Linked DNA regions of Tribolium castaneum. The protein of the gene in region 1 binds, or shares a complex with, the protein of each later gene. Links are inferred from orthologs where the notes say so. Each region holds a gene or a part of one and is shown in the gene's direction. Other genes may lie near its edges.

Region 1 (5,574 bases):
TGTTAGGTCGTGCCGGCCGACCTCAATACGATACCAGAGGTGAAGGCATATTGATAACCAATCACAGCGAACTGCAATACTATCTATCACTATTGAACCAACAATTACCCATCGAATCTCAAATGATATCAAAATTATCAGACATGTTAAACGCTGAGATTGTTTTGGGAACCGTACAAAATGTACGAGATGCCGTCACATGGTTAGGTTACACGTATTTATACATTCGAATGCTTCGACAACCAACTTTGTACGGTGTTTCACATGATCATTTCAAACAAGATCCGTTATTGGAACAACATCGAGCTGATTTAATACATACAGCTGCATTGTATCTCGATCGTAGTGGTTTGGTTAAATATGACAGAAAAACCGGTCAGTTTCAAGTAACCGAACTGGGACGCATTTCCTCGCATTATTATTGCACCCACGAAACGATGCAAACTTACAATCAATTGCTCAAACCAATGTTGAGCGAAATTGAATTGTTCCGCGTTTTTTCCCTATCGTCTGAGTTCAGGAATATAACAGTCCGTGAGGAAGAGAAACTTGAGTTGCAAAAATTGATGGAACGTGTTCCAATCCCGATCAAAGAAAGTATCGAAGAACCAAGTGCCAAAGTAAACGTACTGTTACAAGCGTACATTTCTCAACTAAAACTGGAAGGTTTCGCACTTATGTCCGACATGGTTTACGTAACACAATCAGCTTCGCGTTTAATGCGTGCTATTTTTGAGATTGTTTTACACAGAGGTTGGGCACAATTGGCCGATAAATCGTTAGCTTTGTGTAAAATGATTGATAAAAGAATGTGGCAGTCGATGTCACCGTTGCGCCAATTTCGCAAAATGCCGGAAGAGATTGTGAAGAAAATTGAAAAGAAAAATTTCCCATGGGAACGTTTATACGATTTGGGACCGAACGAAATCGGCGAATTGATTCGGGTCCCAAAGTTGGGCAAGACTATCCATAAATACGTTCATCAGTTCCCCAAACTTGAATTATCAACGCATATTCAACCAATTACCAGGTCAATGTTGAAGGTTGAATTGACCATAACGCCTGACTTTCAGTGGGATGAGAAACTTCATGGAGCGTCTGAAGCGTTTTGGATTTTGGTGGAAGATGTGGATTCAGAGGTTATTCTCCACCATGAGTATTTTTTGCTCAAAGCGAAGTATTCACAAGACGAGCATTTGGTTAAATTTTTTGTCCCGATTTTCGAACCTTTGCCACCTCAGTACTTCTTACGTATTGTGTCAGATCGATGGATCGGAGCCGAGACACAATTACCAGTTTCTTTCCGACATTTGATACTACCAGAGAAGAATTTCCCACCAACTGAACTACTTGACTTGCAACCTTTACCAGTCACTGCCTTACGGAACGATAAATTCGAGTCGTTGTATAACGACAAGTTCCCGCAGTTTAATCCAATTCAGACGCAAGTCTTCAATTCGGTTTACAACGGTGATGATAATATTTTTATTGGTGCCCCGACCGGTTCTGGAAAAACTACAATCGCTGAATTTGCGATACTTCGCCTTTTTGATAAAAACCCGGAAGGTCGGTGCGTTTATCTCGTTCCGAAAGATGCATTAGCTGAGTTAACGTTTGCCGATTGGCACAATAAATTTGGGCAAATTTTGGGCAAGAAAGTAGTGCTCCTAACTGGTGAAACCGGGACTGATTTGAAGTTACTGGCAAAAGGTCAGATTGTTATAAGCACGGCCGAAAAATGGGATGTATTGTCGCGAAGATGGAAACAAAGAAAGAATGTCCAAAATGTGAATTTGTTTATCGTTGATGAGTTGCATTTGATTGGTGGGGAGGATGGGCCTGTTATTGAAGTTGTGTGTTCCCGCATGCGATATATTTCCTCACAGATTGAGAAACCGATCAGGATTATAGCATTAAGTGCGTCGCTTATGGATTATCGAGATGTGTCTCAATGGTTGGGTTGTAATGCCAATGCAACGTTTAATTTTCATCCGAGTGTGAGGCCTGTACCGTTGGAATTGCATGTACAGGGGATTAATATTACACATAATGCGTCGAGACTTATCGCAATGGCGAAGCCGGTTTATAATGCTGTGGTGAGGTATAGTCCACATAAGCCGGTTATTGTTTTCGTACCGACGAGGAAACAATCACGTTTGACTGCAATTGATTTACTTACGTATGCTGCGTCTGAGGGACAGTCTAATAAGTTTTTCCATGCGGAGGAAGAGGATATTAAACCGTTCTTGGATCGGATGACTGATAAAGTAAGTATGAGTTACATACAAGGTTTTATGCGCAAGTTTTGTAAATTACTCAATTGATTCAAAAACGGGTTTTAATTGTGGATCCAGTTTCCTTTTTTTTTTCTTATCGAGGTAGAACTACAAATATGTCTCTCCACTCTGCGAATTTTCAGTAAATACCCAAATACGATTTCCAAACTCAAGTCTGATTCAATAGAGGGTTACTTCTGACATGTCCTAAGATGCAACCAAAAATACCAATTGCTCTTCGGAAATAACCCACTGTTAGCTCACCCCATGGACTCACCCTGTATTTACTACAATTGGCCGAATTATCAATCTTTGAAAAGGCAGGTGGAAATTTGAGTTTTCTCTACTCTAAATATTTTGAAAACAGCTAAGCTATCTTATTAGAATAACTCGAATAATTGAAAAAGGTAATGAAGATCATAGATTTTTATTTTAAATACCAAAAAAATATCAGAAACTGATAAAACAAAAAATTGCACAACTAGGAACCGGAAGAAAAACTATTCGCATTCGCTAACTCGTTTTATTTTTACTTACATCATTTTTCAACAAAGTATCGACTTTTGTCATAGACAGAAGCACAGGTAGGTCAGAGTTTTGATTATATCCAAAAATGGCTATTTAAGTGACTTTTTGCGTTTTTATTGAATTTCCACTAATAAAAGTGAAAATCTATCATATTTCGTTCATAAGAAATAAAAAATAATTTGACTTAATTTAGATTTCAGTTAATACATTTTAGAGCCTAATATCAAAATGGAGAAACAAATCATCTCAAAATTTTTTCTAGAGGAAGTTTGCTTGAAGATTTCCAATCTATTTTTACCTCTTATCCACAACACTAGAAACAGTTTTTGAGATATTGGTGAAAGTTTGGTTTCTCAACATACATTAGTTGTTGTAAAAGAGTACTTTTAGTTTTTATATTAAAATTAACTAGATCAGACAATTGAATCTGTGATCTATATTCATTTTTTGTCTACGAACGATAATTTTTAAGCCATCAGTCAAAGTTTGAGGGGCTGATTAAAATTTAGTTAATCAAAAACCAAAAAATATACAGGGTGTCTCAGCTAAGACTTTCGAGCCTGATATGTCAGATATTTGTTAACGGATTTTTGTGAAATTTAAAATGCAGATATTTTAGAAGGTAAAGATTAAAATTCAATTAATGCAACAACTCAAGTCTTAAAAACGTAATTTTTACATGCCTTTTTAAAATGTTAAGCCTTTTAAGATTTTTATTAAAAAATTAATCATCAATGAAAAATGATGTAAGAAAAAACTCGTTTGTGAAAGAAGTTTGTTCTGCAAGAAAAATGAGAAACAAACTGTTAAACGTGGATACAAATTCAAAAGGTCCCTATAAAACATATGCGCGCTACCACTAAATTTTGGTTACTCCTACTCGCACAAACGTGTCACGCAAATGACATTTCACATTTATCTCTCATCCTTACAAAGTTAACAAACAGTATTTTTAACTTCCTTCTTGTACTGGATGCTTTAATTCGTTCAAAAAGGACAAAAAGACTGAACAACTGAAAAATTTTAGGCACTTGAACGTTCAGGAGTTTGGAAATGTTTATCGTACACTGCTGATTAAATTCCCTTCAAAAGCTGATGTTACAGCCCCAGCTATTGCTTCGCTTCCAGTGACGACTTTTCATTTTATCCTCATTCGATTTAGTTCACGTACGCTTCCTGTGTCTTCAAATTATTGAAGATTCTTTGAACTTTAAACTTCATGAATAACATTTCACAAGAAGTTCAACGAAACTTTTTATGGAGGAATATTGTTTCCTTTTTCAACAACACTGAAATTTCTGTGTTTTACTTTTCTGATAGCGCACACACTTTTGACAGATTTTTTCAATGGTACACAAAATGCCGCATAGAAATGCTTCATCAATTGTTTCAAAAGGTGACTGCCCAAATACTTTCCAAAATTTGGATTAAGTTTTTAACAACAAAACCTAATTTTTTTTCTTGGATCAGCAGAGCGATTTGGTGAATTTTTGTGTGGCCATCTATATTTCCTAGTTTGACTTAATCTTAAATAAAAGAAATGTGTTTTAAAATTACATTTTTTAACTTGAGGTCATTTTTTTGACCCTAATTGAAAGACCACCTCCTAAAATATGTACATTCTAAATTTCATAACAATCCGTTGGCAAATAACTGAGATATTAAGCTCTATATACTATATTGTTTTTGTCTGGGATTTCTAAACTGTCTTTATTTCTCATCTACAACTAATAAGAGTTTTTAAAAACGAAGATCACATAATGTGACCACGTAAAAGGAAAATTACTGTTTTTGGCAAAAATATATTAGCTCAATTTGTTATAGCATCATTTAGGCTTGGTGTTCTAGTACGATTAAACTTCAATTTATTCTTATCTCTCTGTTATTTGGTAAGTATTTGACTGACGTTGCTATGTTTTAACTGGGTTTTAAATTCATTTTTATAAATGTTTCCAGAAACTGGGCTTTAAACATTTACATATTTTATTAACTTTTTATTACTGATAAAAATAAAAGGATAAAACTTCTGTAATATTATACTATTAACAAACTTTTTTCAACAAGCTTTTCAAAACTATAGAAATGCCAACGTTGCATTTTAAATAAGGTTGATAAAATGTAAAATAGTTATTAATGATTAGATCTCTCATTGAAAGTATAAATTACATTAGCGCGTATTCTGTAACTTCTTAACGGGTGGTTAAAATTTAACACTGGTTAAAATCGAAAATTAGAAATTTTATTGGTTATTACTATAGGAACAACGATTAACGGTCTTTAAATTTTAACGGTTTCGTTACAGAATACGGGTTATAAGCGCGTATTCTGTAACTTTTTTAACGGCTTGTTAAAATTTAACGCTGGTTAAAATCGCAAATTTAGCTATTTTATTGGTTATTGCTACACCAACAACGATAACGGTCTTTAAATTTTTACAGAATATTAGCTGTTAATGTTTTTGAAGTGCATGAACTACTATAAATGTTAGAGAAAATGCGACGTTGGTATTTCTATAGTTTTGAAACAGATAATAATATGCTATTTGGTTCGTTAACAAAAATTGGTTGGAGTAATAGGTGAGTACGCGCTTTTAATTTTTTTAATGAAGTTGAACAGTTTTGACACAATACTGCAGCTTTTCAAATGTAAAAATATTTAAGGATTTTGAATTTGTTTTCATTATTTGTCTACGAGGGATAATATGTATTTAAGATATTTGCCAAAGTTTGAGGAGCTGTTTACAATGTAATTTGTCATAAACCAAGATTTT
Region 2 (4,668 bases), on another chromosome or scaffold:
CATTATTATGCATTTTTCTCCAAACGCATAGATGCATAAACTCATATGCCTGAGTGGCTGACGGCGGCTCAAAGAAACAACTAAAATGTAGCTAATGGAAACGTCTTTGTATCTTGAAGCTAATTATTTCATTCTTCAATATTCCGCTCAGATGCAAGAGTTTTCAAACGGCCAAACGCGGTGAAGTGTGTCGTATTCCGGGATGTTCTGTTTCTCCAGCAGCCCCAGGAACACCCACACCTGTGCGTCTACCGCAGGCGCCTCCTGACACTTTCAAGCAGTTCCTCCTTTATGTGTACACAGGAAAGGTTGGTATAAATTACCGATTATTTGTTTATTTTATACTGACAATAAAGACGTTTGCCAGATACTGCTGCAAGACAGTGGAGTTTTCGAAATGTTGGCGCTTGCTCAAGAACTGGGGGTTGATGAATTGAGAAATGCTTGCGAAGATCATGTCACTTCAACCTTGTCTGTTGCTTCAGCCTGCACTTTTCTGGCAGCTGCGATGGACATACAAAATCGGTCCCCAGGTAAGTGAAAAATTAATTCAAAATTGCTCAACATCAAAAACTGTAATTCTAAATAAATTTGAGATTAAAAACTTACTAAAGAATGGGTAAGTATAGAGGTATAAAGCTAATGAAGAAATAACTAAAAAAGAAATAGTGACCTAATAGTGCACTTAGAGTCGCCCTGACTGCCTATAGAGACGCTGTATCTCTATGCCATTTGAGCATTTGAAAATTGGGAAAAAACACTCAACCCCTATGCACAGATTTCATATAAATGATCCTTTGGTCCTTTGGGATCGGCTAGGGCTCATTAACATCAATTTTGTATCGTTTTGGCATTAATTTTGAGATTTTTCTCGCCTAATTCTAGTTTTTGGGGCTATTAAGACTCAAACAACACTTTACACTTCATCACAGTTTGGAAAATATAAATAATATAAATAAAAATAATCTCCGGTGCAAATAAAAAAATTAAGGTTCAAAGAGGTTTTGGGCCGCAAAGGTGTAGCACTTACCTTACCCAAATTGAAAAATGTGTCTTTTGAGCCGGTTTTTCCCCGAGTATTCTCCATAAACACAGTCAAGGGGCAGGTCGTTGTGCGCATCGCGCCAGGTCACAGTCTGCGCGCCCGCACTTTCAAATTCACAAATATTCCACAAAAACAGGTGCCCCACTTTGCATTTTTGAACCACCCAGTCCAAATAATCACTAGTTTCGTTCGATTTTCTGAGAGATAACAACACTGACTGACAATCACGCGATGACAACTGTTAAAAGCAGCATCCATTTGGTGCAAAGTCAAAGCACTCTTGGCAATTTTTTCTTAAGTGTGATTTCAGGCATTTATCTAACTTTTTGAGCAAAATAACCCTTCCTATTCAGTAAAGAGTTGATTTAAATGTCGTTTCACATCTTTATATCGAGTTTATAGCTTGTCGTTTTTTTCTTTAAAGTCACGTAAAATTATCCCGCCAAAACCAAAATTGTGTCATTAAGGGTAACAATGACAAAGAAAGACCTATTGACGATTGTGTGTGTGTAAGACACGGCGCAACTCCTCATATTAGCTATTTCAAAACTATAAAAACGCCAACCTCGTATTTTCTCTCAAAATTAGTTGTTATAAATTATTTATGCACTTCAAAAAACTAATAGGTAATGTTATTTATAGTCTCAATGATTTATTTATTAATAACTATTTTACATTTTTATCAACCTTATTAAAAAAAAATTGAGTTTATGAGACACCAAGTTCAAAAAAAATATATAAAAAACTATCACGTCAAAGAAAGCTAAATGAGAATAAAAAAAATTTTTTTCGAGACATTTACGCCCATCTGATGATAATTATGGAATAACTCAGCTTGATTAGTTAAGGAAAACCCAAAATATAAATTGTGCGACTATAATTCTGCGTGAATAATTTTGGAAAAAAAATGGGACGTTGGTGTTTTTATAGTTTCGAAACAGCCTAAAAACGACCAAACCACCAGACCTTTTTCTGGTGTATTTCAGCTCGTCAAGCTTCCCGCGTTCCACGATTGCCAACAGAATACAGAACTCACACAGATAACCTTACTTTGGTCGTATTGTAAGCGTCGCCTCATTTTTTAAGTTTTATAAATACTATTGCAAACTTTGAACAAGTTTTTTTCTCTTAATACGAATAATTCGTGCTGTGTGAAAGTGTGTTTGCACTTAGCTTCCTTAAAGAACTTTTTTTGCCGGTAACCCAAGACTCCTCTAACCATGGCGTACAAACCACAAAAAGTTCAAAAAGTGATGGTACAACCCATCAACTTAATTTTTCGTTACTTACAAAACCGTTCACGTGTACAAGTGTGGTTATACGAGAACATTAATCTGAGAATCGAGGGGCACATTGTGGGTTTTGATGAATACATGAATCTTGTGCTGGATGATGCTGAGGAATATTACGTTAAAACGAAGAACAGGAGGCAGCTGGGAAGAATCATGCTTAAAGGAGATAACATAACGCTGATACAGAACGTGAATCCTCAATCAGGCAATTAGTTGTAAATTGTAGCGTAATTCTAAGTTTCATAACAATTTTTTCATTCGTTGGAGTAATGTGTTTGTATGAAAACCGCAATTGGTCTTAGTATTAAGTGATTCATCAACTTTCTGTAAAAGAAATGCGGACATTAAAATTATTTTAGTAATTATGTCTATTTTTATAACTTCAAAGTCCTTAAAATTAAAATGTGATGGACAATACAGGTAATTATCGCTTTTTTAGAATTGTGAAGCTTGTAGGTGTTCCAATATATTTTTTTTGTAGGGGGTAAAGCTGCGACAGGTTTTGTCGAACGTTGCGTCAGCTACATTGGCGAAAATGCTGTAGAATGTGTAAAAACAAACTCATTTCTTTCTCTTCCCAAAGAAGCAGTCTTAAAATTAATCTCCTCAGATTATGTAAGTTTTAAAATTTTACTTAAAATCATTTATTACTGTTTCAATTTAGCTCTGTTTGGAGGAAGAGGATGTCTGGAGAGCAATTTTAAACTGGGCAAAGTACCAAGCTGGTGTCACCCAACCCACAGCCCATTGGACTGAAGAAGAGAGGGCCAGAGTGTGCCAGCACCTCTCACATGTCATTTCTCACGTCCGCTTACTTCTGATTGGTAAATTAAATTTTTTTTTTCTCTTATTTATTTGTAATATTATAGACAGCCAAGTTTTTGCCGAAGAAGTTGAACCAACTGGAGCCGTTCCAATGGAGCTCAGTTTGGAAAGGTACAGACATGCTGCGCTTCCTAGTAAATATCCTGAAGGAGCAGAGGACCAGAGACTGCGTCCAAGGGTATCACCTCACTTATTCCCGGGTTCGCTAATTCTGGGTCAGGATAAGAGTCACTACCAAAGGGTGCTCAATGCCTGGTTCGGTAATCCCAAGCAGAGTTGGAGACTTATTTACAGGGCTAGCAGTCATGGGTACTCTGCATCGGCTTTTCACAGACACTGTGATGGGATTTCGCCCACTTTTGTCATAGTTTTGGTAAGAATTTTGCGATTTATTTTAGCTGAGCCGTGAATAAAAAAAAACACGTACGCATACATACATATTTGCTTAGCGCTTTGTTGAAAAAGCCTCCATAGTTTGTCCTCAAAAAATAATCATGTATTAATCTCAATCATAAAATACAATATTTGTTTTTGTAAAAAAAATGTATTATATCACTGGTAGAAAGATGATTCACTGAATTAATGGTTATAAATAAGAGAGAATAAATAAACCATGGGCAGATCAAGATCTACAGATATGTGAATGAGAAAATATAAAAAATAACTGCTCTATTTTTATTTAAAAATTGTTTAGCATCCACGATTTTATCTCTTGGTCAGTAATAAAAGTAAAAGCAAAAGTATTGGGATTTTTTTTCTTCAAATTATTAATTTAGTAATTCATGTATTCTTAACGTTAACGACGTTGATAATTAGACCAGGGGTTAAAAACTTTGTTAAAGTTTAATTTATTTTAAATGTTTTCAACAAAAAGTATGTGATTGTGAATAAAATAGTACAGTATTTGTACAAAATTTGGTGGTAATGACTTTTAAAACAATTTGTTTTGTAATAAAAATTATTAGTAAAAATGGTGGATGCGCTGGGACAGATTATATTTAACCTGGGGTTAAAGCTTGGTAGAATTCTATTTTATTCATATGTATAAATAATAAATAAAACAATGGCACTGTGGTAAGGGCTTTTAAAACATTTTATTTTTAATTAAAATTATTTTCAAAAATGGTGGATGCGCAGGGACAAATATTACATTCTTTTAAAATTAATGAATTGTTTTGTTTACCATTTTATAAGAATGTATTGTTGTTTCGATTGTACGAGTTTGTGTTCATTGCTTATGAATAGGGTCCAAGGGGGGAAATCTGTGGCGGGTTCAGCGACGCAGCTTGGGGGCGCCCACCAGGCAAAAGCCACTACGTGGCCTCAGAGCGGGCTTTTCTCTTCACGCTTTACAACCACCAAGACTTGCCACCTACACAGTTTCATCTAGTGAAGAAACCATTTGCCATTTGTTACCACCCAGAGTATGTATATTTCATCTGACAAAAAAGAGGGATTTTACAGTGTTAAAATTAGTTCAGGGCCGATTTTTGGGGCTGGCGCTGA

What was found. The genes of interacting proteins can lie anywhere in the genome.
Region 2: Brr2 (region 1) and SmE share a complex: the UniProt entries of both Homo sapiens proteins name them as parts of the U4/U6-U5 tri-snRNP complex. The link is inferred for Tribolium castaneum from reciprocal best matches to the Homo sapiens genes SNRNP200 and SNRPE.

Annotation. Positions count from the first base shown.
Region 1 is NC_087397.1:20,465,792-20,471,365, forward strand, and holds part of Brr2 (U5 small nuclear ribonucleoprotein 200 kDa helicase), read left to right. Parts: coding exon 1-2,267; intron 2,268-5,574. UniProt on the Homo sapiens protein: Catalyzes the ATP-dependent unwinding of U4/U6 RNA duplices, an essential step in the assembly of a catalytically active spliceosome. Plays a role in pre-mRNA splicing as a core component of precatalytic, catalytic and postcatalytic spliceosomal complexes.
Region 2 is NC_087394.1:32,140,769-32,145,436, forward strand, and holds SmE (probable small nuclear ribonucleoprotein E), read left to right. Parts: upstream 1-2,048; 5' UTR 2,049-2,265; coding exon 2,266-2,550; 3' UTR 2,551-2,699; downstream 2,700-4,668. Other genes in the region: kelch-like protein 21, read left to right, coding at 152-308, 368-533, 2,819-2,952, 3,002-3,161, 3,207-3,535, 4,408-4,586, 4,639-4,668. UniProt on the Homo sapiens protein: Plays a role in pre-mRNA splicing as a core component of the spliceosomal U1, U2, U4 and U5 small nuclear ribonucleoproteins (snRNPs), the building blocks of the spliceosome.